Rhinolophus ferrumequinum: one gene and its partners. The protein of the gene in region 1 interacts with the protein of each later gene in a biochemical or structural test. Links are inferred from orthologs where the notes say so. Each region holds a gene or a part of one and is shown on either strand. Other genes may lie near its edges.

Evidence for each region. The genes of interacting proteins can lie anywhere in the genome.
Region 2: the proteins of MAP1LC3C (region 1) and NEDD4 form a complex in vitro, tested with the Homo sapiens proteins (2 studies listed by BioGRID and IntAct). The link is inferred for Rhinolophus ferrumequinum from reciprocal best matches to the Homo sapiens genes MAP1LC3C and NEDD4.
Region 3: the proteins of MAP1LC3C (region 1) and kelch repeat and BTB domain-containing protein 6 form a complex in vitro, tested with the Homo sapiens proteins (2 studies listed by BioGRID and IntAct, with this or other methods). The link is inferred for Rhinolophus ferrumequinum from reciprocal best matches to the Homo sapiens genes MAP1LC3C and KBTBD6.
Region 4: the proteins of MAP1LC3C (region 1) and STK3 form a complex in vitro, tested with the Homo sapiens proteins (2 studies listed by BioGRID and IntAct). The link is inferred for Rhinolophus ferrumequinum from reciprocal best matches to the Homo sapiens genes MAP1LC3C and STK3.

What each region holds. Positions count from the first base shown.
Region 1 is NC_046310.1:18,307,158-18,314,865, forward strand, and holds the start of MAP1LC3C (microtubule-associated proteins 1A/1B light chain 3C), read left to right. Parts: upstream 1-4,637; 5' UTR 4,638-4,711; coding exon 4,712-4,769; intron 4,770-4,871; coding exon 4,872-4,927; intron 4,928-5,102; coding exon 5,103-5,209; intron 5,210-7,260; coding exon 7,261-7,420; 3' UTR 7,421-7,708.
Region 2 is NC_046289.1:53,009,738-53,017,483, reverse strand, and holds the start of NEDD4 (E3 ubiquitin-protein ligase NEDD4), read right to left. Parts: upstream 3,108-7,746; 5' UTR 2,735-3,107; coding exon 1,175-2,734; intron 1-1,174. UniProt on the Homo sapiens protein: E3 ubiquitin-protein ligase which accepts ubiquitin from an E2 ubiquitin-conjugating enzyme in the form of a thioester and then directly transfers the ubiquitin to targeted substrates. Specifically ubiquitinates 'Lys-63' in target proteins.
Region 3 is NC_046287.1:8,914,971-8,922,915, forward strand, and holds the start of kelch repeat and BTB domain-containing protein 6, read left to right. Parts: upstream 1-4,838; 5' UTR 4,839-5,106; coding exon 5,107-7,116; 3' UTR 7,117-7,945. UniProt on the Homo sapiens protein: As part of the CUL3(KBTBD6/7) E3 ubiquitin ligase complex functions as a substrate adapter for the RAC1 guanine exchange factor (GEF) TIAM1, mediating its 'Lys-48' ubiquitination and proteasomal degradation.
Region 4 is NC_046297.1:40,660,114-40,667,467, reverse strand, and holds the start of STK3 (serine/threonine-protein kinase 3), read left to right. Parts: upstream 1-4,247; 5' UTR 4,248-4,413; coding exon 4,414-4,439; intron 4,440-7,354. UniProt on the Homo sapiens protein: Stress-activated, pro-apoptotic kinase which, following caspase-cleavage, enters the nucleus and induces chromatin condensation followed by internucleosomal DNA fragmentation.

The DNA.
Region 1 (7,708 bases):
GTCTAGACATCCCAAGTAATATGGCTTCGGTCCCCTATATCAATGATACGATGTGCGTCCCATCGGATGAGCAAGAAGTAACGTGTACATTGGCAGCCTTTGTAAGACACATGCATTCCAGAGGGGAGACATAAATCTTTCAGTGACTCGGAAGCTCTACCCAATCAGTGAAGCTTTTGGGGATTCAGTGGTTTGGGCATGCCCGGATATCCCCTCAAAAGTCAAAAGCAAATTATTGCATATCCCACCTCCCCTATGAAGAAAGGAATGCAATGCTCGATTATGTTTTTTGGGTTTTAACCCCTCTAAACACAGTTCTCAAGGAGCCCAACACACGGTGGCAATGGACATCAGCCTCATTTCACTGCTGAAAGAGGCTGCGATTCATCCTGATTGTAATGACACATCGTCTGGATGTGAGCTAGCCTTTCCTGCATGCAGGGCTTCAGGCAGCACCGCTGTGTGACAGGGCACTTTTCTGTGGTAGCAATTTGCATGCAGGTAAATCCATCTAACATTTATAGCACATGAGCTAAATGCCAGGCTCTGTGCTACTGAGGGTGCAGACAAGCAGGGTCTCCCTCTCAGTCACTGAATAGCTGCTGTGGGTTTCTTTGGTTCTTGGACAAGAGAACAGGCGGCATTAAAACCATTTCACAGGGTCAGTAAGCAAACAGTGAGTTCAAGTGGCTTCATAATTCGGTGGCTAATTTGAGACAGGGAACCAGAATCATTTATGTTGATCAGATAAACAAGTCTTACTGGTAGGCAGCCTTTTAAAGGGCACTTGATGATAAAAAGCAAAAAATAAAACGGAATGACATAACTTTGAATTTCAGCTTTCTGCCTTGAGATTCCTCCTGGATGTTCCCTTCTCATCCTGAGTGAGTCGTATCAGGACGGGATGTCTGGGCCTCCAGGCGACAGCAGGAGCCACTCTCATACATCTCCTATCCCCCCGCCATGGACCCTGTGAAGCCGCCAAGTCCAGGCAATGTACTGAAGGAGTCATGCGACATTCTGCGGCAGCCTCCAGAACCTCTCTCCTCCCTGACGTGGACACAGTGATGAAGACTTCCTTCTTCTCAGCCCGCCAGCTTGCAGCGGCCTCTCACTTTAGACGTGCACATTTCACTTCCATGGTGTCATAACTGTCCACCCAGTTTCCCACTAGAATCAGAGCTTGTAGCCAAGAGGGATGAATGACAGCAGCCACAATAGGACAGGACAGGAACCAAGATGGATCTGTCCTAGTCACCCCGAGCCCCACACACCCACAGGTGCCAAGGGACAGGCCTATTTTAACTCACATAGGAGAAACTGAGTCACCTTGGGAAACTCCTCAGCAATGGTTCAAATCATCCCCGGAAAGCATATAGAGCAAGAAGAGGACTGGGTGGGCCCAGGGAAAGGCCAAGATCAAGGGACAGGAGAAGTGGCACTGGTGACTCTAAACTTTGCACATAGCAAGGGCCTGGGCAGCAATGAGAAGGGAAGGATGGCAATCGTCGGGGGCTCATGCTAAAGCTCCATGGGCACAGCGACGATGCAGCTGTTACACACAACTGCCTGCGATGGATGCGGTGACCGATCGCTACAGGGCCAGAAACATAGAACAGTTTCTATTCACATAAGAAATGAGAATTTATTATGGATAAATGGATATTCTGTTTATCTCCTTAGGGGTTCTGAGGAGAACTGGCTCTGCAAATGAGGGAGAGGCAGCTGGAGAAGGGAGGAGACGGTGGGGGGAGAAGAACCCCAAGAAAATGGAATCCTGGAATCTGAAAGACGAGAGTTGTTGGAAGGAGAAAATGCACACGGCCACATGCTGAAGGACGAAAGATCAAATAAGGTAAGGGCTACAAAGAGGTGCTGGTGTGTATTATTGCTGACCTCCTGAGAGCATGCATTAGTGTCGGGACAGACTCCAGACTGCAGGGGTTTACGGAGCGGAGAGGCAGTGAGCTAAGTGGAAAGACTGAGCTCGGCCAACTCTTGCAAAAGGTTCAGGAAGTGTGAGTAGCGGGGGCTGGGCTCCCAGCTCCACAGGCCACGAGCAGTATGAGAGACGTCATATTATGAGCTCCTACTGTCACCCATATCTCTGTGTACATCACGCAGATTCCCACCTTTCATCTCCACACGACTCTCTGAGATGAGAAAGCATGTCCATTCTGCTAAGGAGGACCGTGAGGCTCAAAGAAGTTAAGTAAGCAAGATGTAGAGCCCAGGTGCGTTGTCAAAGTTTTGCTTTCCATGACAGTCACATGTCTGGAAGAGGCAAGAGAAAGTTGACTGGTTGTTCTTTTAAAAGGAGGGTGGGGCATAGGTGTGTTTATGGGAGGAGGGGAATAAATCTTCCCTAACCCAACAGCAAGTGTCCCACTCTCTGCCACCTCTTATTTTACTAGCTCACTCTCTTTTGTACCAGGATTCCATGTGTCCTGTCACCAGCCCCCTTCCCAGTACATGGGTCAGACAGAGGGATGAGAGTGGGTGAAAGTGTAGGGTAGAGGGAATCAACATGGCCTCAGCCAGCTCGTGTTTCATGTGCTTTGTGTGCAGGACAAAGAAGTGCAATATTTCCCACTGTACATCATGGGCAGTGTCGGTTTTGTTTATTAAAATATCAGTAGATGGGCTCCTGGACCAAGCCTAGGCACTCTGGCACCAGCCATTTTCCACAGTGCTATTCCTATCTCCTTCCCTACACAACCTGTGTGGCGCGACATTATGTGTCTTTGGTTACCTTCTGCCAACTAGGTTCCAAGGACCGTGATGGGGCCCACAGTACCCATGGACACTCTGCTCTTCTCAAAAAGGAAACTTTGCAACAAAAGAGAAACAATATAGCCATTCCTCTGCTGAATGATGATACATTCTGAGTATTGCCACATTTTAATATTTTCCCAAGTCCTTTATTCTGTCACCCCCATTACATCCGGAGAAGTAGACTTGGCCGAGATGATAATCCTACGTGCCAGAGGAGAAAGCGAAATGCCGGGCAGGTAGGAAACGTCTCAATGTTTCCTCCCAATAACGATTGGCCAAACAGTGCAGCTGGGGGTTATTTTTCCCTGGTCCCCAACCCAGTGCTATTGCCTTCAGCCTTCAAACCTGATGTCATGTGAACTTTCCTGGGATTGTGGGGGCTTTGAAGAGGCCTGGTGGGGAGAGAGACATACACACTGAGCATCAGATTTAGTGCCAGGCACTGTACTAGCTGCTTTACATAATCAGTTCATGTAAGTCTCATACACATACTCTGAATTAGGTAAAACTAACCACTTTAATGAGGTAAAAATAATCATTTTGCAAAAAGGGAAAACATACTTAGTAAAGTGAAATAATTTATCCAAGATCAGAAATGGAGGTGATAGTAGGGAGGGCCAGGCCTGGAACCAGTTTTTCCTGGTCCAGGATGTGGAGCCACCCCTGGGAAGTGGACGGTCTGGGTTGGCCCCACCTCAGTGTATTCTGGGTAGACATGGATCTGCAAAACGCTCATCCTACCTGCCCTTCCCACCCCCACAAGGCAATCGTTTCAATGAGATCATGGATTTGAAAGCCACGAGATTCCAGAACTGCACTATATACCTGCTCTTTGTTATCGAGAGACAAGGATAGAGAGACAGAGAGACAGAGAATGGGAGAGGGTGAGGCCACGCCTCTCTTCAGTGATGTCATCACTTAATCACTTGATGTCCATTCCTGATCACTAACTTAAAGCTCTGAGAGCTGCTCCCTTTGATTCACCCAGCAAATGTGGACGACCTACCATCATCTTCCTTTACGGCACTCTGTTCATTTGAAGCCTCCTCACTCTGTTGAATGACCTTGCTGGGAAATCAATGAAGGAAGGACACATACTCCTTCTGTTCATTCTGAGTCTAAAGGTCCAGCTAAATGGCATATGTATCAGAGACAAGCCCTGGACTCTGGGTCCTGCGAGAACTGTGTCTTCCCAGCCATTTGGCCCAGGCAAATCAGTTAACTTCTATTGGCTTCTGTTCCTTGTCTCTTAAAGGGAGACCTTGGGGGTAATAACTGTGCTTCCTTTCCTCCATTATTGCAGAGAAGATAAGATAACAGAATATACTGGAGTGTAGCACTACTTGGTACCAAATCTGGGTTTTAATCCCAGCTGCCTCTCTTACTAGCTGTGTGACCTTGGGCAAATTCCTTAACATTTCTGATCATAGTTTTCTCGCTGAGAAAAATGGCAAGGACTGTTGTGAGACTTACATAGCCTATTTCAGCATCAGGTGGATCCATCTTGGCCTTCCTTCAAGATGGTTCATTACTGAAGTACGAAAAGGTCCTCTGCAAATGGCAGTTCCACCTCTCCAGAGTTCTCAGCCTCAAACTATGCTGTTTGATTACATAGTCACTGATTTTATTATGAACCCTAATTTCTCCAGCAAAAAAAATTATCTTGAACTGATCCTGAGCAAAGTGACTTTCTCTGACCAATAAGCAGGTGGCTGTCCCGTTTCAATCCTCAGAACTGACCTCCTCCTGCCCAGCGAGGGGGAGAGGGGGAGGGTAAAGAAGAGGGAAAGGGCTGATGTCACACAGCCCTACATAAGGGCCTCCTTTAGCCTCCTGCAGGCGGGTTGGAAGCAGCTGGAGGAATGAGTTAGGTCCTGGCTGTGGATTTTTTTTTTTTTTTTTTTTAAGCCAGACACAGACAGGGCTGTTGAGCAAAATGCAGACTCCGCAGAAAAGCCCAAGCCTCAGACCATTCAAGCAGAGGAAGAGCTTAGGTAAAGTTCTCGGGTAGCTGTCTGGGTTGCCAGACAGAGAAGGAAAAGGATACAGACTGCTCTCGCCGTTTCCTTACTCTTTTGTACTTGAAATATTCACAGCAACCAGACAAGAGGAAGTGGCTGGAATCCGGGCAAAGTTCCCAAACAAGATCCCGGTAAGACTCCATTGTACTTTTGGAAAAGGGGTACACTATTCTGTTGCTTGGGAAAAAAAATAATAATAATAACAACAACAGGAACAAAAAACCCACTCTCTCTGTCTCCCTGTTGTAAGACTCTAAGATACTGAGAGTTCTGAGTCACATTCTTAAGGGCGGAAACTCCCGACAGGTGGTAGTGGAGCGCTATTCCAGGGAGAAGTTCCTGCCCCCGCTGGACAAGACTAAGTTCCTGGTCCCCCAGGAGCTGACCGTGGCCCAGTTCCTCAGCATCATACGGTAGGTGACACGGTGCTCGTGGGGACGTGTGCATGGTCCTGGGCTTCTTCTGTTTGCTTTGATAGTTTGTTTGGTATTGAGGATAGGGGGGTGGGGTGGCGTCCCAGAAGAAGAGAGGGAAAGGATTTTCTTTGTGACTCACCACCTTGTAGGTTCTGCAGTGCCCAGAAAAGATGCTCTGAGAATTCATCTATTTTAAACAGGTGGGAGAACCTCTGAGATAACAAATCTAAAGACAGTCAGAGCTGCTAACATTTCTAAGAATTTCCTAAAGTAGTCTTGGTTCCAAAACGAGTCCAGAAGATCCTTTCTTCCTAATAGTGTGGAAAACCTGGCCAGTGTTTTCCCAGTAGAGACACGGCACCTTGTTGGAGTGTGCGAGCCTGGGGAGTGGAGACCTCTACAAAAGGCAAATGTTCCCCACACTGCTCAGAGTCTGAGAAGCGGGACACAAAGGTGTCCCCAGAACACATTCCTCCCTTGGGTTAGGGCACAGCAAAGAGGTAGTAACTACTTTTAAAGCTGAAGACAGTGAAGTGGTGTCACCTGACCCATGGATTCAATACAAATGACTGGGGAGTAATGTGGACATGACCTGGTAGGTAATCCTTCACAGGGTGAAGTCTGGAAGGGCCAGCCCTTGGAAACCCGATAACTGTTGCAGCTTATTTCTTCAAGAATTCATTATAAATATGTTAATCTCTGTTCTATTTGTTTCAATAAGTAAGATTATTCTGATTCCTCTCCTCAGGGAGGCTTAGTGACTGCAGGCAACTGAGGGAGAACGAGAATAAGAATTAGATCCCAACAACTTGATGCAACAGTAGATGACCTCCCTCCTCCAACAAGCCTTTGAGTTCTGAGAGGCATTCTTTCCCCCCTTCCTAGTCAGGGGCCTTCCTGTCTTCTCCACCACCCCTCGCCCACACCCCAATCCGCACGTTTGATGTTCACAGTGTTTATTGAGCACCAACTATGTCCTGAGTGTTCTCTGGGCTCTGTGTTCACAGCAGTGGACAGAATAGAACAAATTCCTGCCCTCGGCCTTCTCCCCCAGGGGGTAAGCCACAACCCTCATAACAAGGGAGCATGGCAGAGACAGGAAATGGAGGTACAGACTCCGGAAACAGAGCTTCCTTCAGAGCTAATGGCAACACACTCCCTCCCAGCTCTACCCCTTCCCGTTGCAGAACAGTTCTTTTTTATCCAAAGACCACTCATGCAATTGTGAGCTAAAATCTTTGGGGTTATTCTGGAAGGGATTCGCTGGTTGTATAATTACTCAGGCTCCAGCCACCCCCGTCTCCCACGGCTGCATGGATCTAGCTCACCTGACCTCTGAGGCTGAAGTGGGCAGGCTGTGCCTGCCCCCCCAAGCAGAGCAAATGGATATGCGCTTCAGGCCAGGCTGAGCCTTTACCTGAGTGTAACGTTGTCATGCTGTCCTCTACTCCAGGGTGAATCAGGACTTAGATTGACCTTGACTTGTAAAGCGTGTCCAGTCAAATTTGACTGCTTTGCTATCTCCTTGATGTTAGGGGAAGAAGGGCAGGGGGAAGGAAGAGCACAGTGAGAGGCAGTAGATTGCTTCTAAAGGTCCCCCAAGGCTGTGTAATATGAGATGCTGAAGGAAATTGGGATCCCCTTTGTACTTCTGGGGAAATACTTACCTTTAATTTCAGAGCAAAGAGGGGCTTCCACATTAGCATTTTTGTGTTGGTGTGTCTCCTAGTCCATGATGGGAACGCCTGCCCTTTTTTGCGGAAGAAGTAGGGAGCAATTCAGCTGTCTTGAGCATCACACTCCTGCAGATTCCTACCTAGGCTGCTTCTGAGATCTACTAAACCAAATGCTGTGGGCTGCAGCCCAGGAATGTGCATGTTCAACAGGCCTCTCCTGGGTGATTCTCAATTTTGAGGAGACACACCAGAGTGGGGAGGTGGGCATCTTGGATGGACGTGTTTACAGTGGCCACCGGAGGTAAGGCTTTGGCTCCATGCCCTTTCCCACCAGGTTAGCTTTCTCCCTTCCTGCCCCTCTCCCCATGCCAGGAGCCACATGGTCCTCGGGGCCACTGAAGCCTTTTACTTGCTAGTGAACAGCAAGAGTACGGTCAGCATGAGCATGACCATGGCCGAGATCTACAGGGACTACCGGGACGAGGACGGCTTCGTGTACATGACCTACGCCTCCCAGGAGATGTTCGGCTGAGGGGCCCCGAGGCGCCAGGGATGGCGCAGCCGGCGGGGCGGGCCCTGCCATCCTCTCCAGCTGCGGGACCAACCGAGCGGCTTCCTCCTGTGCGCGGTGGACCCACGGGAGCAGGGCCGCCCCGCAGGAGCCGCGCCCACGGGACAGGTAGGCCGGCGCCCTGTCCCCTTTAGTGCGCATGCCCTGTGTTCTCTGGGAAAACGCGGTGCCCCTGGGAGTTTTGTAAATAATGATATTTTGGGTAAGAGGTGGCTTCACATGCGGTGGTTCTGTGCGATGGCGAAGTGT
Region 2 (7,746 bases), on another chromosome or scaffold:
ATTTATTGGATTTCAAAAGAGAGAAAACAAATTAGCAATTATTTCATATTTTATTTACCTTAAGCTACCTCTCCAGAAGTTTAAAAAAAAATCTTTAGTATAGATATTGAGTGTTACGTTGAGTGACTAAACACAGACAAACAGATAAGTTTTTCCTCCAATAATGTCATCTAGAATTGGTTTAGTCAGAAAAAAAATTTAATTTCCTGGTATTTAAAATGTTTTAATATCCTGGCAAGACCTTCCAAATTCAGAAATTTTAAAAACTCTATTTAAGGTCAAAACACTTAACATACTTTGGAAAGGCCACATTACATAAAGAACTGTTTTAGTTAAGATTTATTAGAGTTAAATTACTAATATAATAAATCAAAATTATCAAATAACAAATGAATAAGGTAACTAAAAAATTATGGGAAATACCTAACAATTGAAACCAAATTCAAAAATATAAAATTTAGATTTCAATATTGTTGAAAGAGTAAGTTACATTTCAGAAGGCAGTCTTACCTGGTAGCTAAAGAAAAATACCGTGGAAACAAAATTCCTGTGGTTAAGGCATATACAAATGAAAATGTCATTTATTTTTCCTCTGCTTTAAACATGCAGCATAATAGTTTTTAACAATGATCTAATAAATACATGTATTTTAGAAAAACAGTTTTCTCTATGCTCATTTCTAACAAGATTTTCACATTTTTACATACACTTTCTATTGCTTAATATTTTAAATAAGCATTCTATATTTTACTTTACTTCACAATGATTACGGAGAGGAGACTAATAAATGAGCATTTTTGTAAGTAGGAATAAAATATGGAGTTACACATTAAAATATTATGCCTCTTGAGGGGAGGGAAAAATACATCAAGGTAAAGTGTTATAAAATAAATTATTATTTAAAGCTTGTTTTTATGTTACAGAAATGTTTTATGGCTTAAATCACTTCAGAAAGTTTTTTTTTAATGAATATTTTCTACATTAGTAAAATAACAAATAGAGTGAAAAACTATTGGGGGTTCATCAGATTTACAAATATAAAGTTCATGACTACAAAATACTTGCTTGGTAAGTAAGGACCAGGAAAGTATATAAAACTGCTAAATTATAACCAAATATTTCATAAAGCTATTCTAATATAAATTAACATTTACCAAGACCAAAGGAAACTTACCTTACAAGAATGCTTCAAAGAATTAGATAGTTCATTTGTGAAATCTCTGTTGCTGTCTCTTGATAAATTATCAACTTTACCTTCATTTCCAGATGCAAACTTTATTAGTAATTGAGATGGTCCCCCTTTGGAACAATTGTGCTTAAGGCTGGATAAACAGGAAACATTTGGGTAAGTCCCTCCCAGTGAAATACTTCTTTGTAAAATAGCACGGTTTTTGTTTATCTGTAAATTTGGTCTTTCCAACTGTCCATTAATATTTATTTGATAATCCACGTTTTGGGAGTATGGTAAACACGCAGATGTCCTATGCATCAGCTTAATATACTCTGAATCAGAATTAAGCTTCCTTTCTGACATCTCTGGTCTACAATCACTATTTGCTGCTTCACAATCTACTGTAGTTGCTTTTTGTTGGGTGAAATGTACTGAAACACAAGAATATCCATCAGGTGACTTTTCAAAGACAGTCTGACTTGGACTATTATTCGCAATAACAATTTTCTTTTGTGATAAGCCCTTCCCCTGAAGTGGTCGTATGTCTCTTACTTCTCCAGCAGCACAGATTGTTTTAGATAACCGAAGTCCATTGACAGCTGTTGAAAGAAATCCCTTAGCACTAGTACCATCTTCATTGTGGGCAATTTCACTAGGAGAAATAATAAATTGGTGTGACGTCTGATAGGATCCTTTGCTTGGAAGAATACCTGTATTTGTCGGAGAAGTTGGTGGGGTATTTGCAGGACTCCTGGGAAAAATGACTAAGGATGAGCAACGTTTTAGTGGAATTTTCGAGTTCCTGCTCACTGGCAATTTCATAATCTCTAGTCCATGCTCCAAGTCATCCTGGACAAAAGGAATTGTACTTGTACATCTTGAAAAAATTTCACATGGAGTAGTATTCCTGTTTGGCACATTTCTATAGGAGGTGCTGTCAGAAGATAAATTTCCGGCCAGAAAAGTATCATCAGTTGATGGAAAAGTATAACCGCTGCTGTCACTGATGATACTGTTGGTGTAGGAACCTCCACTTGTGATACTTGTGCATGACCCATAATCACTACCGTTGCTGTTGTAAGACCCGTTCTCACTGGTTGAAAAGTTACTAAAGCTACCACTGCAAATGGCAGAACTGCTTAAAAGGTTTCCATCATTCACAGCATTTAGTTCATTATCAACCACAGCACTGCTGTAAATGCCATCCTTCAAGACACAGGTAAATGAAGCATCGTCAGCATCAGCTAAGACACTGCTAGACTGAAGATATCCACTGTACCTTGTTGGCTGTAGTGAAATCTGTAGACAGCTGCTCTTTTTATTAACATTCTCAGGTGGAGGAACAGATGAGCTCTCCTGAGACGTAACGTTTTCCTTTATTAACGGAGCTAGTGCAGTCTGTCTGGGAGTCAGCTTCATTTGAACAACGTTAGACGTTGAAATCCGTGTTGGTCTTTTGAAGCACATGGGAACATTGCTATCCGAGTCATCTCCGGAGGTTTCTGACAAAGGATAAGTATTGCTTCTTCTGGCTGCAAAGTGCAATCGTAAGCTTTGTGCCATTTGTTCTCATTTCCAAACATGTTAAGGGCTGAAAGTCATAACAAAGATCTCTGTCGGTAGACAGGCTAGAAGCAGCTGCACTGCGTCGAAAGAAAAAATCATTTGTGGTGCCTAAAAGAGCTCTTAAGTAGTAGTCTTTATCCAAAGGAAAACACTAGATACCAGATATCTCAGAAAGAAAAAGACGACCCATTCCTGAGACTGACGTTTCCAAAATGTCTTGAATTGCTTGTAGTCAAAATGCCTTCACTTACAAAGCACTTGATTTCCAGCGACCTTTAAAGCTGAGCTCAGCTGCAGCTCACTGCCTCAAACACTGCCAACCTTGTTTCAATTATACCTTCTCCAATTTGCATGAATGAGTAACACAAGAACAACAATCTTCTAGCATTTCAAGTTAAAACAGTATTTTTTTCACTCCAGCTCTACTAAATGAACATTTAACTGTGTGAATCACTGTGCCTATACTTTTTCCAGCAGAGTTTGACCACTAATATTTTTACCCATAGGGATAAAATTACAGGAAGTTGGTAGGAATGAAACCCCATGTAATTGAGTATCAAATCGAGGATTGAATTTCCAAATAGTGGCCACACTAGGAATCTAGTCAAGTTAGTTAATGTAGAAAGGAATATAGACTGTTAAAATTTTTACAGATAACTTCAAACAGTTATGCAATTTGGACACACCAAAAGTGTGGGGTAAATTAAAAATTTAGCATTCGATCAAATAGATAAGTATTTTAAATTCCAAAACACTTCTTATACAAAATGAAAGCATAAGGAAAGAAATACAAAATGAGCCTATTAATACTATTGCAAAAATTGAGTATATGTCTGAGAAAAAATAAAGTTTAAGAGAAGCTGTCACCAAGCATTTTCTCCTATAATTTTAAAGGCTTTTACAGCCAAGTAGTACAGTCTTTAAATGATGCCATTTATATTTTGACTATTAAAACTCTGCCAAGAAATAGCCTAAGCAAACATTCCATTAAAAATATATGCAGATTAGACAGAAAAACTATACCCCAATATAGTTTGAGCACACAAGATATTTTATTCCACTGTCTCTGCAATTCATTCACTTAAGAGAGTGTTGTGGTAAGTAAAGAAGTCTAAAAAGGATTTAACACATCAAATAAACATATCTCAATGCCAATTCTGTTCTGAAAAACTCCAAGAGCTCTTTGCTGGCCCCTACTGGTGCACTGAAACAATCCATTTAGCTGTTTCATATCTATAAAGAAATACAAACCATGCTGCATATTTCTTTATATAAACAAAGTACGTACTTGTTTACATTTTTGAGTACTAGCACTGCCCTAGAGGTGGAATTACTTACTACTGCTGATAAAGCTCCTCCAGTAGAGAACAGTACACTGTTTGTCCTTTTAGGGGTTGTGATTTTGTATATATATTTTTTCTGCTTTGTATTTATTTAACCTTTACTTTATTTTCAGTTTACTAGGTAATAAAAGTTTAATATTTTAATTTCTGCCCCAAATGTCATAGACCAAGGTTGGTACTCTATTTGAAAGAAATAAATTTATTTTTAAATAATACTCTAGGGTATATTTAAACCCCTTACCTGAATTTTATAGCTGGAACTCCAGTAATAAATATATACTGGCTCATTCATAGGAAAGTAAAAAGTAAAATAGTTCAGTTGTTTACACCACATGGTACTACACCCAAGTTGTATTTTTTTAAGTAAGGTGTTTTTTTTTTTTTCTCTAAGTAAAAGCAAATATGTAAAATACATACTTGCACTTTGTTTAAAAAAGAAAACCCCATAAGACAGATCTGTTCTCAATCACAATTTTCTAAACGGTATTTTAAATCTATTAAGACAAGAAAAAATAGAAATATGGTATCAATTAAATTATATTTCTGACTAGAATGATATTTCTGACTCGAATGAGACAGTACTATGTTTTAGAATGTGTGCAATAATTGTAAACTTAGTAATAAAATTATTATGCTATTTTGATTTTGTATACTCTCCTTAATGATTTTACAGATGTCAGTAAACAGTCCCGTATCATGCCTTTTCTTTATAGAAGAAACAGTCCTAATCTTTTCACTTTGCCTTCAAATGACTTCTGCTTTCTGTCTTAAATTAAGTTAGGGGTCTGATAATTTAAAGAATGGATCACTACTAACAGGCTAATCAATGAGATCTAACTGCTCGTGCCTGCGGCCTAAAACTTTCAGTTAATAAGCAAAGCTCCTCTAGTTCTTAATATAAAATAATGAACCTCAAGAATTTGGCCAGATATTTGGCATCAGTTTCATGTTAGTTAAAACTCTAACTAGATTTTAAGCTTCCAGTGTGTGAGGGTCATAACTAAACATTTCTTCTGATGCCCCGAGCTCCTGTTGGGAACACGTAAGCACTAAGTAACACCAGAGAGGAGACTGAATGGATAGATGAATAGCCACTCTGCCTGCCTCATGATTTCTTTCAGGGTTTTAAAAAGAAATTGATCCAGTTACTACTTCTAAACAAATGTCAAAAAGCACTGCAGCTGGACAAGAAGGACTGATGCTTGAAAATTTTGCAAAGAGGAAAAGTAAGGTAAGAGAATCATCTGCCCTTCCTAGCTCGCTCTCCAGTCTGCGTTTAATTCTCGAGAGGCTGAACAGTTTGCACTGCTGACTCTGGTCTGGGACCACACGGGCTCTGTACTGCTGTCACAGCAGTCATGTGCAGAGCCTGGGGAACCTGGGGCAAATGTAGCCCCTTAGCCAAACAGATGCCAAAAGAGGAGCCTTAACCCAAGGGGAGCAGAGGTAGAGTGGGGGCAACCCTCATCGGGGAGGAATCTATGCCAGTCCTATAGATTTCCATATTCTGAAGTGACACAGGTAACATCTTAGGATTAGACTGAAGCTCAGGACCCCACATTCTGACATGTTTGGTGATTGATTATCTACACAGAAAATAATGTGATTATTGACATGCTATGGCTAGGCTCTGGATAACCCAAATCATTGACTAGAACTTTGAAGTCTAAAGTCCAGGGTGATGATAATATGTATGTATCACTTGGCGGGGTTGTTTTGCCCAGTTGTTTGGTCAAACACCAGTCTAGGTGCTGCTGTGAAGCTAGTTTTGAGATGTGATCGACATTTCAATCACTAGATTGTGAATAAAGTCAATTACCTTCCATAAGACGGTAGGTGTCATCCAATCAGTTAAAGGCCTTAAAAGCAAAGACAGGTTTCCCACACAAGAAGCAATTCTGCCTCAAGACTACAACATAGAAACCCTACCTGAGTTTCCCGCTTGGTGGCCTTCCCTGCAGATTTCAGCCTCAAGACTGTAACATCAACTCTTCCCTGAGTCTTCAACAAGCAATCCCTGCCCCCTGGGGAATCTGCAATATACTGATCAATGCATTCTTTTGTGCTTGCTTTTAGCTTTAAAGGTTGTTTTGTTTGTTTGTTTTTAATGTTTATACATCATGTTTATAACCCTAGAAATATCCCATTGTTAATATCAGAGGCAATGCTTTTTCCTTTTGACATATCATGACACCATGTATAGTACGCTACATGTGCTCAAGGAGTGTTACTGCACCCGAGTATGAGAAATATCCATTTTGGCAACGAAGAAAGAGTTACACCATGCTGAAGTTATAGGCAAAAACGACTAGACAACTATGGTGAAAAGTGCAAACATGAGCTATCCCTCCTTGTGGACAACATTACATATAACTCACATAAAATAGTTCACCAATGAAGCACCCAAGAATCAGGGAGAAATTCACATTGGTGTCAGTAACAACAGGAAAAATAACACCGTAACACCATGACCCAGCAATTCAACCCCAAATTACGAATCTTAACAGATACACATGTGCATCAGGAAACATGGCAAGAATGTTTACCAACTGGTAACAGCAAAAACCTGGAAACAACACTGGTATCTATTAAGGAGGATAAATACACAAATTAGGATTTTATGGCATTTGCAGATGATGGAAAATTATGCATCAGTGAAAATGTGTTATCATGGATCAAAAAGCATGTCACAGAGGAATTCATTCAGAGTGATACTATTTTGATAAATTGAAAAACATGCAAAAGGAAACTCTGGTTTTTTTAGGGATACATATATACATGATAAAAATATTTTTAAAAAGCAAAGAAATGATAAACAATTTTCAGGATGGTGGCTGCTACTTGTGAGTGGAAGAAAAGGAAATGCTGTTGGGAAGGCTGAAGGGGGTTTTGAAGAGTTTGGTAATGTTATAGTCCTTAAGTTGAGTAATAAAGTACACAGATATTTATCTTATTATTTAAAATAAAGATTCATATTATATCTACTTTTTGTATATATATTTCATTGTTGAAAAAACACCAACACTAAATTTTAACTGGTCCCATCTAGAAGTAAAACAGCTCTGTAAAGACAGAGGGGGGAAAAATTCTTATTCTATAGTAAAAGCAAAAGCAAAAATACAAACAGAAAAAAAAAATCAAATCATCATTTGTCACTCAGCTTTAAAAAGTTAGATTGCCAGTTAATGAGGAAGTCTCCTTTGGCAGCAGAAAAGCATCTTTGCTAATTAATAGATTTTGTTTGTAATACCTTCAGTTCCTAGTATAGCTGTCATTTCTTGAGGGTGAAAAGAAAACATGTTATGAGGTCTAACGCTAAAAACAGATTTTAAAAATAAAAAATCCAGTGTCTTTGTTAGCTATAAAAATGAATAAAACTGTTCAACTTTTTTGGTACTTCTGTTTAATCACTGATAAACTTTGAACACATAACACTGTTCTTGTACCTTCATGTTCAAATCTTAACAGGTTTAAAATATAATTGTAAGATGCTAAGGAGGTTTGAAATAGGATCCCAAAGAGACAAAATTAGGAAAAGGATAGGATTTGAAGATAGTCTTAAGGAAATCAGAAATCAAAACTACCGGTATCATTAAAAAAAAATAAAATCAGGTTTAACTTTGCTTTTTGCCTATATAGGAGCTGGCAATCCTTTATTTTATCAGT
Region 3 (7,945 bases), on another chromosome or scaffold:
ATATCCTTCGTTCTTATGTGGGGAGCGGGACCAGAGACCTGCATGCCACCCCGCATGACACTGTCTCTCTAATTTTGGGAACAGCTGTTTGCCGTTACCTCCCCTTTCTTATGGATCCAAGAAGAGTTGTTGCTTTTCAGTCTATTCAGTTTTGTACTTGTTGTTAAGACAGAGACTGGTGATTTCTAAGCTCCTTATGTGCAAAACCAGCAAGACTTGGGGCCGGTTGAATCCCTGAGAGTTTGGCTAGTTTGAATTTCAGAGCATTGTTGGCCTGTTTTATTTTTCCAGAGGATTAAGGGTGGTAAAGATAGTAACATTTTAGACTATGAAGTGAATTCCTCTATCACAAGTGAGGAACAAAGGGATCCCCACATGAGGAAAATTCTGGTAGCAACTTATCTACAGTTGAGGCAGTAGCCTGTTTGCAGAGAAAAGCTTCTAACCATCCTGGAAACAAGAATGTGCGTATCCTTTTTGTGTGTGTGTGTATAAAAGGGGGAGAGGGAAGTGAGTACTTGGAGAGTCCACAAGCAGGAGAAGAGGACACAGAGGTTTTCAGATTGAAATGCAGACATGGAGGGCGAGTCCCAATTAGGGTGATCTGCGTGGTTTCTTAGTCCTGGCCTATAAGGCAGAGCAATAGTGAAAAAGCTAGGGATCCAGTTCCAAGAAGAGCCAAATAATCCCAGAAACCATCAGAATTGTCTTTCAGTCTCAGGAAATGGATAATTGGTGACGGTGTTAATACATTTAGGGGACAAAGTCTTCTCTTCAATAGTGATAGCATGTCCTAGATAATTCTCTTGAGGGGGCCAAATAATTGCATTTTGTTTTTAGAAACTGTATGTCCATTGTGCACAGAAGCTTGGAGCAAATGAGTTGTCATAATCAGGTGAGCAGAGAAGGTCACCTGCATATTAGATAAGGAAAGAGTTGCAGGGAAAGGTTAAATTGCTCAGGTTTGCATTTAGGTAACCTGAGGTAACTATTTAACGAGGTAACCTGAGTTTAACTATTTTATTGCTTGCAAACGTTGGACTAGCCAATATTCCTTGCCATTTGGATTCTTTACTGTGGGGGGAGAGGCCAGAGTATTACAGGATGTGTCAATCAGGCCTTGAATCATAGGTTGAAAAGTTTGGAGGGCTTCTAATTTTAAATATGTTATGGAAATCTTGGGAGTGCCATGGAAGGGTCTAGTTCTACTTCGAGAGTTTTGGCCTCCCAGGTTTGGCTTATGTCAGTGGAATGAGCAGCCCAGAGGGAGTCAGGTGTTTTAGTTAACATAGTTTGTACTTTAGTGTTCGGGGTGCTTTCCAGGCGCAAGAAAAGTCTGTTGGTTAATGAGAATCATGAAAGGGCAAACACACATAGGTGTGGAAGCAGGGGCTTCCAGGGTGAGGCACTTGGGAGAGCAAAAAATATTGATATCCTACTGGAGAGTAAATCTCTGCCCAGAAAGACGACTTGGACGGAGGAGCTAAGCAGAAAGCTATGCTGTGTAATGAGAAGTATCAGTGAGGCAAAGAGAGAGTTAGAGAAAGGCAAGTCGTGTGGTAGATTAAGTCCCACGGCAGGTATCGTATGTGTACTCCAAGGGAAGGAAATAAAAGGTATTTGTATTAGTTTTCAAGGGCCGACATGGTACTTTGTTCCATACTGCAGATGTGGTGGCTTCAACAAAAGAAACTTATAATCCCACACTTGTGGAGGCAAGAAGTCCAAGATCAAGATGTTAGCTCCTTCCAAAGACTCTGAGGGAAAGCTCTGTTCTAGGTCTTTCTCCTTGGCTTGCAGATGTCCATCTTCTCTCTCTGTCTCTCCACATCATCTCCCTTTTATGCATGTCCTAATTTCCCCCATTTGTAAGGACACTAGTCATATTGGATTAGGGCCCACCCTCATGAACTCACTGTAAACTTGGTTGCCTCTGTAAAAACCCTGTCTTCAAATAAGGTCACACTTTTAATTACTAGGGTTTTGGACTTCAATATATGAATTCTGGAGGAATAATTGTGTTAATGGTGAAATTGTTGCCCTTGTGTCCACCAGGATGGTGGCGGGATATCCATTGATGGCAATGATTATTACCCCTTGCACATTAAGAGTTAGTTTTTCACCAAAAAAGGAGAGTGTCTCCGAGGAAAGTCCTAAATGATGGTTTTTTAGTCTTTTTTTTTTTAGATTTTTTTTTAACTTAAAAAACAAAATTTATTTAAGTGTGTTTTTTCAGGACCCATCAGGTCCAGGCCAAGTAGTTGTGATCGAACCTTGTTGTTAAGAGCACTGCACTCTAACCAACTGAGCTAACAGCCTGCCCTGGTTTTTAGTCTCTTGTTCACTTTTGCATTTTGAGACCAGTTAATACCAAGGCTTACGTGCCTTTTCAGTATCTGTAATAATCTCAGTTTTGGAGGGAGCAGATTATCCCGGCATGTTTCCTTCAAATTAAGTTGTAGTCTTCAGTTTGCATTGTTTTGATTTGGCCTTTTCTGCAACAGAGTCCTTGTGATGTTCACCTAATGTACGTATTTCAGAGAGAGAGAGAAAGATCACCTCACTAATTTCTAATATGTTTTGAATAATATCTGTAATTTCTGGTCATAGCCTTAATGAAGCTAGCGACCAAGGTGGAAAGGTTTCAGTCATTTAGAGTGACACCAGAGTAGTCCTTCCGAACATTTTCTAAACTATGTCCATAGTTAAAGACAGATTGATCTCTTTGTATTTTGTAATCTCCTATCTTTGACCAATCAGTTTTTGAAGGAAGACAGTGGGAATGAATTCTAAAAGTGGTTTTAGCCTGTATGTAAGCCTTGGGGGTGTTCTGATTTATTTCATTGATTGTTTGCTTGAACAGTGGCCCATTTGGCTTTTCAAACAATAAAGTGGCATCTCTGGGACCCACTAGTGGTAGCACAAGTTGTTATAAATCATGGGTCCCAAGAGACTATGTCCTGAGGATCGGTATGAATTGATAACTAGATTCTTCCCTATTTTTATGGTGGTCCAGAAAAACTTTAAATAATAACATGTAATAAAAACTTTAATAATAACATGTAAATCTGAGCCAGATTAAGGATTAAAGAATATTTGCTTAGGGGTCCTGCCTGAGACTATGGACTCATGATAAAAGAGACAGTCGTTAAGAGACTGTACAGTTTGAAATAGACTGGAGACATTTTATTTTTCAGCCTCCTCATACCAACCAAAATAAGCTGACCATTGGTGAGCCAAGATCTTAGCATCCCAAGATTTGAGGGCACCTTGTAGATAGACAGGCTTAGGGAAATTCCAAGTGAACCAAAGGGGGCTATTGGAGTTGTAAGTTGTCTTTAGTAAAATCCTGCCATTTTTGGAGGTAACGATCTGAATTTTCACCTTAGTGGTGAAGCATATAATTGGTGGGAATTTTGAACAGCATTGAATAGTGGATTGAGAGTTTCCCATAATACTAAGGTTAAACAACAGCTAGCAACAAAACCAAACCTAGAGATGGCTGGAGGCAGTTCCTTACAAAACAAAACATAGTCTTATCTAGCATCCAGCAATCACACTCCTTGATATTTACCGAAATGAGTTAAAAACTTATGTCCATGAAGAAAACCAACACATTTTATAGCAGGTTTATTCACTATTTCAGAAATTCAAAGGAAATAAAAATATTATTCAGTAGCTGAATGGATAAGTAAACTGGTATATCCATACAATGGAATAATAATAAATATAATAATAATAAAAGAAATGGCTATCAAGCCATGAAAAGACATAGAGAACTGAAATGAATATTGCTAAGTGAAAGAAGATATCTTAAAAGGGTACACATTGTATGATTCCAACTATATGACATTCTGGAAAAGGTAAAACTATATAGTCAGTAAGAAGAGCACTGGTTCCCAGTGAGTGGGGAGGAGGAAACATAAAACAGATTGAACACAGAGGATTTTCAGGGCAGTGAAACTATCCCGTATGATACTGTAATGGTAGATACATGATATTATATGTATTTTTTTCAGAACCCATAGAACTGTAGAACACAAAGAGTGAATGAACCCTAATATAAATATTTTAACATATATCACTATGAGTTTATCACTTGTAATAACTACGTATACTAACGCAAGCTGTTCACAGGAGAAAATATGAGGGGGTGGACTATATGGGAGTTCCTTGTAACTTTCTGCTAAATTTTCCAGTAAACCTAAAACTATTCTTAACAATAAAATCTATTATTTTAAGAAAATCAAAACTTAAAGGCATCTCTGCAGAAACCTGCAGGGTTTAAATTTTTTTCCTACAGGCTCATGATTTTAAATGAGTGGGTACTTCATTTTTCATAAATGCTAGAAGAAAAGCTAAAACTTAGTGAACCTTTAGATTATAGATACTGAGTAAGTACTTTATTGTTTTACTAATAAATGCGTATGTATTCAGAAAATAATATATATCCTATGCAATTTATCTCATTTAATTGTCACATAACGCTATGAAATACTATTGTTATTCACATTTTTTAAAAACACAGGAGACAGTTCTAGTATTTATCAATTGTTTACCAAAAACAATTGATAAATACTAGAACGGGCATCTAATCTGGATTCCTAACCGAAAATTCTACCGTAACACCAAATTGGAGATAATTAGCGATTTCTAATTCGGTCAGCTGAAACAACGGCCGAGAAATCTCGCGATACTATTGAAACTACTACTCCCACCATGCAAAGCGGCTTGTGCCTATCTGCCTATGTCCGTGGATCGGGCGGCCCGGCATGCCTCGAGGCGCGAAAGGCTACCTGGGCACCGTAGTTCTCCTGGACACATAGCGGTATCGCCAGCGCTGGTGGCCGCAGCGCTCTCGGTTCTCCCGGGTCCAGAGAGGGTGAACCGAGACAGAGAAAGGGCGCGGAACGGGAAGAAGGTGAGTCTGCACGGTGTATGCGATAAAGGGAGGTGGCACCGCGGCACAAGGTTGAATTAGGTAAATGGACTCGTGCTGCTATCTCTCCGGAGATACCGTTATCTTTGGGCTGGCGAGAGTCCGGTGAGGAGCCATAGCCTGGTCCTTACACCAGTTCTCACCTCAGCACCGCGGCCATCTCCACCATGCAGTCTCGGGAAGACGCTCCGCGCTCTCGCCGCCTCTCCAGTCCCCGTGGTGGGAGGCGGCCCAAAAGGATTCACAAGCCCACGGTTTCAGCTTTTTTCGCGGGCCCTGAGGAGCTGAAGGACACGGCCCATTCTGCAGCCCTGCTGGCACAGCTCAAGTCCTTCTACGACGCGCGGCTGCTGTGTGATGTGACCATCGAGGTGGTGACGCCTGGCAGTGGGCCTGGCACGGGCCGCCTCTTCCCCTGCAACCGTAACGTGCTGGCTGCCGCGTGTCCCTACTTCAAGAGCATGTTCACCGGCGGCATGTACGAGAGCCAGCAGGCAAACGTGACCATGCACGATGTGGATGCCGAGTCCTTCGAGGTGTTGGTCGAATACTGCTACACGGGTCGCGTGTCGCTAAGCGAGTCCAACGTGCAGCGCCTTTATGCAGCCTCGGACATGTTACAGCTCGAGTACGTGCGGGAAGCCTGTGCCTCCTTCCTAGCCCGCCGCCTTGACCTGGCCAACTGCACCGCCATTCTCAAGTTCGCCGACGCCTTCGACCATCACAGGCTGCGCTCACAGGCCCAGTCCTTCATCGCCCACAACTTCAAGCAGCTCAGCCGGATGGGTTCGATTCGGGAGGAGACCCTGGCAGATCTGACTTTGGCCCAGCTGCTGGCCGTGCTGCGCCTGGATAGTTTAAACATCGAGAGTGAGCAAACGGTGTGTCACGTGGCGGTGCAGTGGTTGGAAGCGGCTCCCAAGGAGCGGGGTCCCAGCGCTGCGGAAGTCTTCAAGTGTGTCCGCTGGACACACTTCACTGATGAAGATCAGGATTACCTGGAAGCGCTGCTAACCAAGCCCATTGTGAAGAAGTACTGTCTGGACCTTATTGAAGGGGCCCTGCAGATGCGATATGGTGACATACTGTACAAGTCTCTGGTGCCAAAGCCAGAGTGCAGCAGCAGCTCTGTTGTTTCTGCAGCAGAAAATCCACCCCAGAGGCTGGGTGTGTGTGCCAAGGAGATGGTGATATTCTTTGGACATCCCAGAGATCCCTTTCTCTGCTGTGACCCCTACTCCGGCAATATTTACAAAGTGCCGTCACCTTTGACCTGCCTTGCTCACACTAGGACTGTTACCACCTTAGCTGTCTGCGTCTCTCCAGACCATGACATCTATCTAGCTGCCCAGCCCAGGAAAGACCTCTGGGTGTATAAACCAGCCCAGAACAGTTGGCAGCAACTTGCAGATCGCTTGCTCTGCCGTGAGGGCATGGATGTGGCATACCTTAATGGGTACATTTACATCTTGGGTGGGCGAGACCCTATTACTGGAGTTAAATTGAAGGAAGTGGAATGCTACAGTGTTCAGAGAAACCAGTGGGCACTGGTGGCTCCACTACCCCATTCTTTTATCTCCTTTGACTTAATGGTAATTCAGAACTATCTTTATGCTCTCAACAGCAAGCGCATGTTCTGCTATGACCCTAGCCACAACATGTGGCTGAAGTGTGTTTCTCTTAAGCGCCATGACTTTCAGGAAGCCTGTGTCTTCAATGACGAGATCTACTGTATCTGTGACATCCCGGTCATGAAGGTCTACAATCCAGTCCGAGCAGAATGGAGGCAGATTAATAATATCCCTTTGGTGTCAGAGACCAGCAACTATCGGATCATCACTCATGACGAAAAATTGTTGCTGATCACCTCTCGCACCCCACAGTGGAAAAAAAACCGGGTGACTGTGTATGAATATGACATTAGTGGGGACCAGTGGATTAATATAGGTACCACATTAGGCCTCTTCCAATTTGATTCTAACTTTTTTTGCCTCTCAGCTCGTGTTTATCCTTCCTGCCTTGAACCTGGTCAGAGTTTCCTCACTGAGGAAGAAGAGATACCGAGTGAATCTAGTACTGAATGGGATTTGGGTGGATTCAGTGAGCTGGATTCTGAGTCAGGAAGTTCAAGTTCTTTATCTGATGATGATTTGTGGGTACAAGTAGCACCTCAGTGAAATACACAGGATCAGCAGGGTTTGTTGTACATAGGTTGAAACATTAAGGTGGTTTCACTGCTTTGGAAAGTATCTTAAAGAAATACCTGTTCCCTTTACTGTAGGAAAAGACAGTTGGTTGATTTCAGGTTTGGTTTAGAAAGGGTTTTGTTTGAACTAATGTAATTTAATGTTAGAGAATTTGAGCACTCCAAAAACAACCTATTTAATAATTTACTGTTCTAAAAGTCTAGTATTGATTTGTTCAGTATGTTTGTTAGATTATGCTGATTTAGTTTTCTACTGTTAAATCTTACATTCTGTTTAGTGCCACAAATACAGTAACTTGAATTTTAATTTTCATAATAGAAAACTTATTGGATAGGAATTACTAGATAGGGTTTTGAAAGTATATTTTTCTTCAGAACAGTGTAGTAGATTTCCAAAACTTTAGTGGGTTTTAACAAAGTGTGTTCTAACTTAAATACAGTTTGCTAAGTTTTAGTTTAGTTTTCTCCCTTTTTGAGAAGGAAAAAAAATGCATATATGTTTAATGTGACTGAATGTTGATTTCATTTGAAATACTGTTCAGAATGGTCGTAAACTCACTGGTAATAATAATAATAATAATAATAATAATAAACAGGAGTCTACTGTTTGAAAGGAAATTTCAGTTTTAAATTTGTAATATAAAATGTGTATTTGCAGATAGTGACCAATTTTCCATCTGGAAAATATTCCATTCTAGCAGTGCCACCAATCATCTACAAAGGTTAAAAAACCAATTCAGTGACGTCCTTTGTAGCTTCATATTTTTTATCTATACTTGGTACATGCTTCCTTGAATCAG
Region 4 (7,354 bases), on another chromosome or scaffold:
CAATCTAGAGAAAATGCTTTGTAAACTCACCGTTGAAAGGAATAGTTCTGAATTTCTCTGGAAATAAAGTCACATAGTGTAATATATTAGACCAGAGTTTTCTCTTTGTCCCAAACGCTTCCTGGTAATAGTAGAAAAGATTGACAGTTGTTAATTAGTATTATTGTTCAAATTTAAAAATAAGAAAAAAAGTAGTTTTGCTTTTTTTCCCCTTCCCCCCCTCCCCTCCCAACTTCGATTGGGGCCATTGTTCTCAGTCTAATTGGGGAGGACGCAGTTCACTGGCCCATGTTGGTGTTATGAGCATTGTGTTCTACCTGGCTGAGCCAGCCGGTCGCTGGCTGCCGGCTGGCTGCCGACTGGCTGCTCACAGCAGCTCATGGCCACTCACAGCTGCCCATGGCAGTCCAGCTCCAGGTGGAGCCATTGTTCACAATCTAGCTGTAGAGGGTGGAGCTTACTGGCCCATGTGGGAATCAAACCGGCCACCTCGGTGTTAGGAGCACAGCGCTACAACGACCTGAGCCACCCAGCCACCCAGAAACATGTAGTTTTAATAAACAGCAGCAACTAGTATAACAAGGAAAAACTTATTTTATCTTAATATATTTCTCCTCATAAAACATGGTGATGTATGTATTCTGTGACAACGAATGCATTTTTGTTATTCAAAAGGAACTGGGTCCCAAATTGCAGATTTTTCTCAAATTTCTCTTGGAGCACTCAGTTGAGAATTCTGGTGAGCTGTTTTCTAGTATAATTAAAGCGTGTACTTAATCTTGATTCTAATTGGAACAGTTGGAAGCAGAAACAGATTACCCTACTTTCACAGTTAAGTGAAGCTGAGTGACCCTTATCTGAATCTCAAATTTTCCTATAGCTTTCATGTGTTCATGAAGGCTTGCTGCCTCTTATTCGTAGGTTGAATGAGGATGTCTATGCTTTGTTTCTTGGAATCTTCAGGCTGCTTTCTATAGGCAAATTAAAACAGGGACTTGAGCCCTTTTTTTTTTTCTGAGTAACTCAGGAAAAAAACAATTCCTTTTATTCAGTAACGCATGACATGCCAGGCACACTGGCCTTGGGGCCTTAGTACTTCCTTTGGCCTCACAGTCTCTTCTTAAAGCAATCTGTATGGCTCTCCCCTGAATTTCTTTAGTTGCCCTCTCATTAAGGCCTTCCTTAGCCACCCTATCTAAATTTCATCCCTTCCCCTCCACTTTATATTTCCTTTCCATATTTTATTTTTCTTCCTCACCAGTTTTTAGTACCTAATATTATTGATTAGTTTCTTATTTACCTTATTATGTTTCCCCACCCAGAATATAAACCTCATGAGGGCATGAATTTTTGTCTATTTTCTTTTCTGATGAATCCCCAGTACCTAGAACGGCATGCGTAAGTATTCAGTAAATATTTACTGACTGACTTACAGTGGGATAAGGCTTGGTATTGCAGTTGTAAAGGCCTGGGGTACAGTGCAGATTTTCTGTTTGGCCTAGAGTAACTCTCTTCACCCTTTTGAACCTCAGTTTTTTCACCTGTAAAGTAAAAACAACTACCTAATGAGGCAGTTTTAAGGGTTTAATGAGATAATGCAGGCCAAGTGTCTGATCTTATTAAAGTCATACAATAATTGTTAGTTCTCTCCCTTTCAAATTGAGGGGAGACCTTAGAGATTTTTCTGATATTATTCCTCCTCCTTCCACAAACCTTCTTTATGGGTGTCTCAGTCAGCGTTCCCATAGGAAACCCTTTTGAAGGTAGGGTCATTTGAGGAGGTTTGAGGTATAGGGGAACATAAGGAATAGAAGAGGAATCCAGGGAATAGTAGAATAGTCACCATCTATAAGCCCAAAGAGACAAGAAGAAGCAAGCAGAGTTTCACCCTAGGTTACCTCACAGGAAGGATACCAGGGGAATAAATAGCCTGATCTTATAGTCCTGTGGCCCTCACTGTGGTCAGTGGTCAAGTGGGGTACTCACGTAGCCAGAACCTGCAGCTGGAGAAAACAACCTTGAGCAGCATTCCTGGCCAATAAGAAACAATGAGCAGACAGAACCATAATCTGAGGAGAGAGAAGCGGGTCTAGGGAAAGTTTCTAAGGTTGTGCGTGTGCATTAGTTAAAAGAGCTGTCCTATAGTTAACTTTTCCTTATCATCATAGTAAAAAGCACTCTCATAAGTGGAATTTAAAATGCTAATGAGACATGCAACACCTGAATTTGCAGTAGGTACACTGGACAGGCGAGGTGTAGGACACGCCTCAGTATATTTTGGGGAAGAAGAAGGGAAAGAGGAAGAGGTGGCCCTGAACCCAAGAGCCTATAAAACTGCAGCTCCTGTAAGCCTTGGGAAGCCACATCCATTCTCTTTTGGAGTGTGCTCCTTTGGTGCATCAAGCTTTTGCTTTGATAAACTTGTCTCTCTGCAAAACTGTTTGCTTACTCTCTTGATTTCTATTCTGAGAGGGGCAAGGGGCCCTGTGCCAGTAACATCATCAGACACAACCATAAATCAAGGGGGCGGGAGCTCAGTGATGTGAGCCATACAGGTTAGCCTTCAGGACAGAAAACTGATGGAAAAGGATGGAGAGTGAATTTGGGGGAACAAAAGGAAGCTATCCAACCCCGTGTCCTAACTATGTATAAGGCACTTGCTATGCAAGGGACAGAGAAAATAAAGAAATAGTCCATTTCCCAGCAGACTCACAGTTGGGTTATGATGTCAGTCAAATAAACAGAACTTCAATACAGTGCAATAAGCACTATACAAAAAGCCAGCACAGTGTTATAGTCACATATAAGAAGCATCTCTTTCACCAAAGTGTCGGAAGTAGTGGGGTGATGATGTTGTGAGCTTGGCTGGGAAAGGCTTCCTGGAGATTAAGGTTGGTAACATAATTAAGAGTCCATTTTAAAGTATGAAAATTTGAGCCCATTTTAAAATGTGACAATTTTTTTAAAAGGGTGAAATGACCTTCTCTGAAAGATTTTTCTAACAAAATATAAGAAGATGGGAATAGAGCATAGAAGTGAGGATGAGAGTGAGAGATAGAATAATGAAATTTCAAAGGTTCTTCCTAGCTTTAACATTTTAATACCTTAGTTTTTGGTCCTGTTACTTCTGAACTGTTAGACTGTGGATCTTCAATAAACAAAATAATATAAAATTCTGCAATAATCTCTCTTGTTTACAGAATTTGGCTTAGGTTTCAATAATAAATGGTCTTTACAAACTTAAAATAACTAAATTTAGGGGGCAATGTAATGGTTTGAAAATAAATCATGTTAGTTTATTACATTGTGAAACAAAATAATGCAAAAAGAGGAATAACTATTAATAGACAAGTTTGAGTTGATGTTCATAAAGTTTCTTTATTCAACAGTCTCTTCATATTCTTTGTTCTATTCTTCAAAAGCTCTATATGACACTACATCTTGACAACTTCTGTCAAAAGCAAAGCCATTATATAGTAGCTGTATGTGGTCATAACAAAGATACTTATAGACAGAATTTAAGGTTCCGGTATACACACAACAGGGATGCAGGAAGGGGTCAAATTACAATGGCATAAGTGCTTTGGGAAGAAATCGGAAGGAAAGGGTGACAAGAGGGAAGGAAACAAACTTTCCTTGAGTACGTTTCTACGCATCACAATTTGTTCAGTTTGCCAGGTTACCCAGTTGAACAGCCCGCATTGAATCTGGTGCACTGAGAGAGCTCACTGCACTAATTGTTTTCTTTGTAATTAGACATAATTATTGTGAAATGTAGTGAGGAGATTGTCCACAAAATCAAAAAGAATTTCCAGATATAGTACTAAGTATCCTTAACTGTAGCTACAAATGTCAAATGGCTGGAGGAAAATATAATGAATAATTATAAACAGAACTAGACAGGGAAGCGTGCGTGGGCAGTTAGTGCTACTTCAAACAGCTGCAGAAGATGTATCCTTGAGAAATCTAGAAAAATGAATCAAATCGAATTGGGGCAAAAACAATGAGGGCAAGTGAGGAGTGCCAGCTCAAACGCATACACCCCTGGCCAGCTTACAGAGGCTCTGGGTCCTGACTAGGCCTTGCTCTCTCGCTCTTTCAATTTCTCCTCATTTTTTTCCCCTTCCCTGTACGAAGGCCAGCTCTTCCCTCCGCCGCCGAATCCGCCCTCGTTGCCCAGAGCCTGGCTCCGCCCACCCTCCCTGGACCGCGACCTGCGGCTGAGGGGCGGGGCGGTGCGGGAGGAGCCGCACTCTGGAGCGGGAGGGGGATCCGCCGCGGAGTTACGGGAAAGTTGTTCCGAGTTCCTGGAGTTTCCCTGTGTGGTTCCTGGGCTCCGCTGGCCAGTGCCTCGGCTTCTTTCCTCCCTCCCGCTTTCGCCGCCCACCCCGGTCCCTTCTGCCCCCGGCCGCCATGGAGCAGCCGCCGGCGCCCAAGAGGTAACAAACGCGGGGAGCGGGGAGAGGGAGGAAGGCGGCGGTCGCAGGGCGGGGGCGGCTAGGCCGGGCCGGACGGTGACAACCTCCCGGATTGCCGGGCCCGGAGCCGGGCCTACCGGGGGTCGGGAGGCTGGTCCCAGTGCCCGGCCGCGTCTCTGCGCGGGGCGAGGGGGTGAGAGGGGAGACGGACCGTCGCCTGCCCCGCGCCCGGCCTGGCGCGCGTGGAAAGTCGGGCATTGCCGGGCTCCCCGCGGCCAGACTCCCGGGACGGGCAGAGTTTTCCCCCGTGGCAAGTTCACGAAGCCAAGGAGACGTAAAACTAGGAAATTAATGGGCTTCTTAAAACCATGTCGACTTTCTTGTCAAATTTAAAAAATAATATTACCTTTTTACTTTTTTGAGAAGGCGGGTTTATTTACAGTTTAAGGAATTATATATTCATAGCTACACAGCCTGTAAAACTTGTGGATATGCCGCACTGACAGGTGTTCCTCAGCCCCCTCAAGTTCAGAAGTATTTATGGATGCAAGACAGGAATCTTAAACTAGAACCCCTCCCCCATATACTTTTGTTTTTGTTTTTTCTTTTAGCATATAAAAATAGTGATGTTTTGGTATTTACTGTTATATTTAATCTTTGATGTATTGGAAGTGTAAGAGTACACAGTAGATAGTTTGAGCTAATATTTGAAGTGATCTTAGAAAGCTAAATCAAGGCTATTCATTTACTTAAGTTTGTAATGTGCTTTCCCCCCAACCCCCAAATGAATCAATCAACTAAGTGATGCTGGATTAAAAAAACATTTAACTTCAGTTTTTCAGTTTTAGTTTATAAAATAAGGGTATTAATCTCTCTCCCAGATAGTGCTGTTGTGAAGATGAGTTTTGTGATTTTTGATACGTAGAGATCTTTAGATGGAAAGTGGTATATTCAAGAACATGAAATAATTAAAAAGGTAGGAACTTTGTGAGCCATTGTGAATCGGGTGACTAGATATGTGAGCCTTGAGGCCTGGAAACCATCTGTTCAGGTGAAAAGGGAGGCGGTGTGTGTGTGTGTGTGTGTGTGTGAGAGAGAGAGAGAGAGAGAGAGAGAGAGAGAGAGAGAGAGAGAGAGAGAGAGAGAGAGAGAGAGGTTTCCAAGAGACCTGCTATCAGACAGCCCTTGATAGATTCTTCTCTGGCATTTTGTAAAGTACCAGAATTCTAGTATTGATTGGGCACTCAGTTTTAATACTAGTGAAAAAAACAGGAAACTTTTTTTTCCTTTTTTGTTTTGGAAGTACTGTAAGGGGAACCTCTAAGCTAACACCCTAAGGCCAACTTGAACAACTCTAAATTGAAGTAGACCTCTATTCTGATTAGCTCTACTCTGTTATCACAGTTTCATTATAGATGTAAGAGAACCTCTGCCTTTGCAAGTACATTAGAGAACCTGGAGGGGTCAGGGCGAAGGGTGGGTGGCATACTTCACCATTTCATGGTAACTTACATTTTTTAAAGTACTGGTTACACATTTAGCAGACTTAGTTTTAGCTCTTTTAAGAGACACATGTTAATCCAGGAAGGCATTTTTGCAGAGCAAAAGATAAATGACAATTCCATATATTTGAATATCTCTTAAATTTTTTTTCATAATATTTTCATTTTCATAATATCATTTAATCCTTATAGCAACCCTGTTGAGTATGTTAGGTTACAGGCGTTTAATCCTATTTTGTAGATGAGGACACTAAGAGAGTTTGCCGCATGGAAGGCTATGAGAGAGAGAACCGATAGTGAGTTTTTGTATTGTCCCTATTAATCATTACCTTCTAATAATGAAATATAGCTACCATTTCTGAGATCATACTGTTTGCCAGGAGCTTTATATATACATTCCTTTATTTTATTGTCTTAAGAAATAGGAATCCTGGTTAGCAGTTTACTATGCTACTTCTAAATTTAATCTCTTCATCAGTAAGAATGTGTTGTGAGGAGTAAATGAGGTCATGTGAGAAGCACTTAGCACAGTGCTCTATCATGTGCTCTATAATGTTGTTAGTTTATGTTTTCCTTATTAAATGAAGCTCAGAGAGGTTAAATAACTTGGTCAGGTGGAGGAGGTGCCAGAATCTCCAGACTGGCTGCAAAGGCTGTGCACCCTCTCATTGTGTACAGTGATGCCTCTTTTTGAAACCCTTGCTTGCTTTCTAAGCATTCCATGATGTGGTGGTCAACTCTTTCTACAATTTTCTGGTCCCCTTTGCTTGTTAACTTAATCCCTGTAAGAATGGTCCTTTGCTTTTCTTTCTTTCTGTGTTGAGTAGCACTTCCTTAAGGCTCAGCCATTTTTACATGGTCACATTTATGTTGCTGATGTTCAAGTCTGTCCGAGTAGCGGCTGCTGCTCAGTTAGTAGTTTTGATTTTTCATGTAGATCCACTCTTTCATTATCCCTTCTAGTTGTCACTAGATCCTATCAAATTATTCATCAAAAAGTATATGGATTCATTTCTCCCCCTTTTGATTTTCAGTACTTCTACCCTCCATATTGCTGGGTTTTATGACCTTCACGCTTGATTTATAGCAGTGCCTTCCATCTGGGCACTGTAGTCCAATTTTCAAAAATTTGAGCAGCAGAAGGGCTCTGTGTGGAGTAGGGCAGGGCACTAGAACCTGGTCCCCAGGGCCTTGCCTCCTTCTATTCGCCTTTTGCTGTCCTACAGAACCTCCTAATGATTCATGTTTGCTTTAGTTCATCCTCCACATGGCTTCTGATTTATTTTTCTAAAGCAGCACTTCATTCATGCTACTCCTTTTTTTTTGTGGGGGGGAGGGTTGGGGCACACTAGTCAGTTTTGTACCCAAGGCTCCCATCACTTAATCTCAAGCCTTAACTTCCAGCCTTGTGTTACTATTCTCCAAGATCAGTTT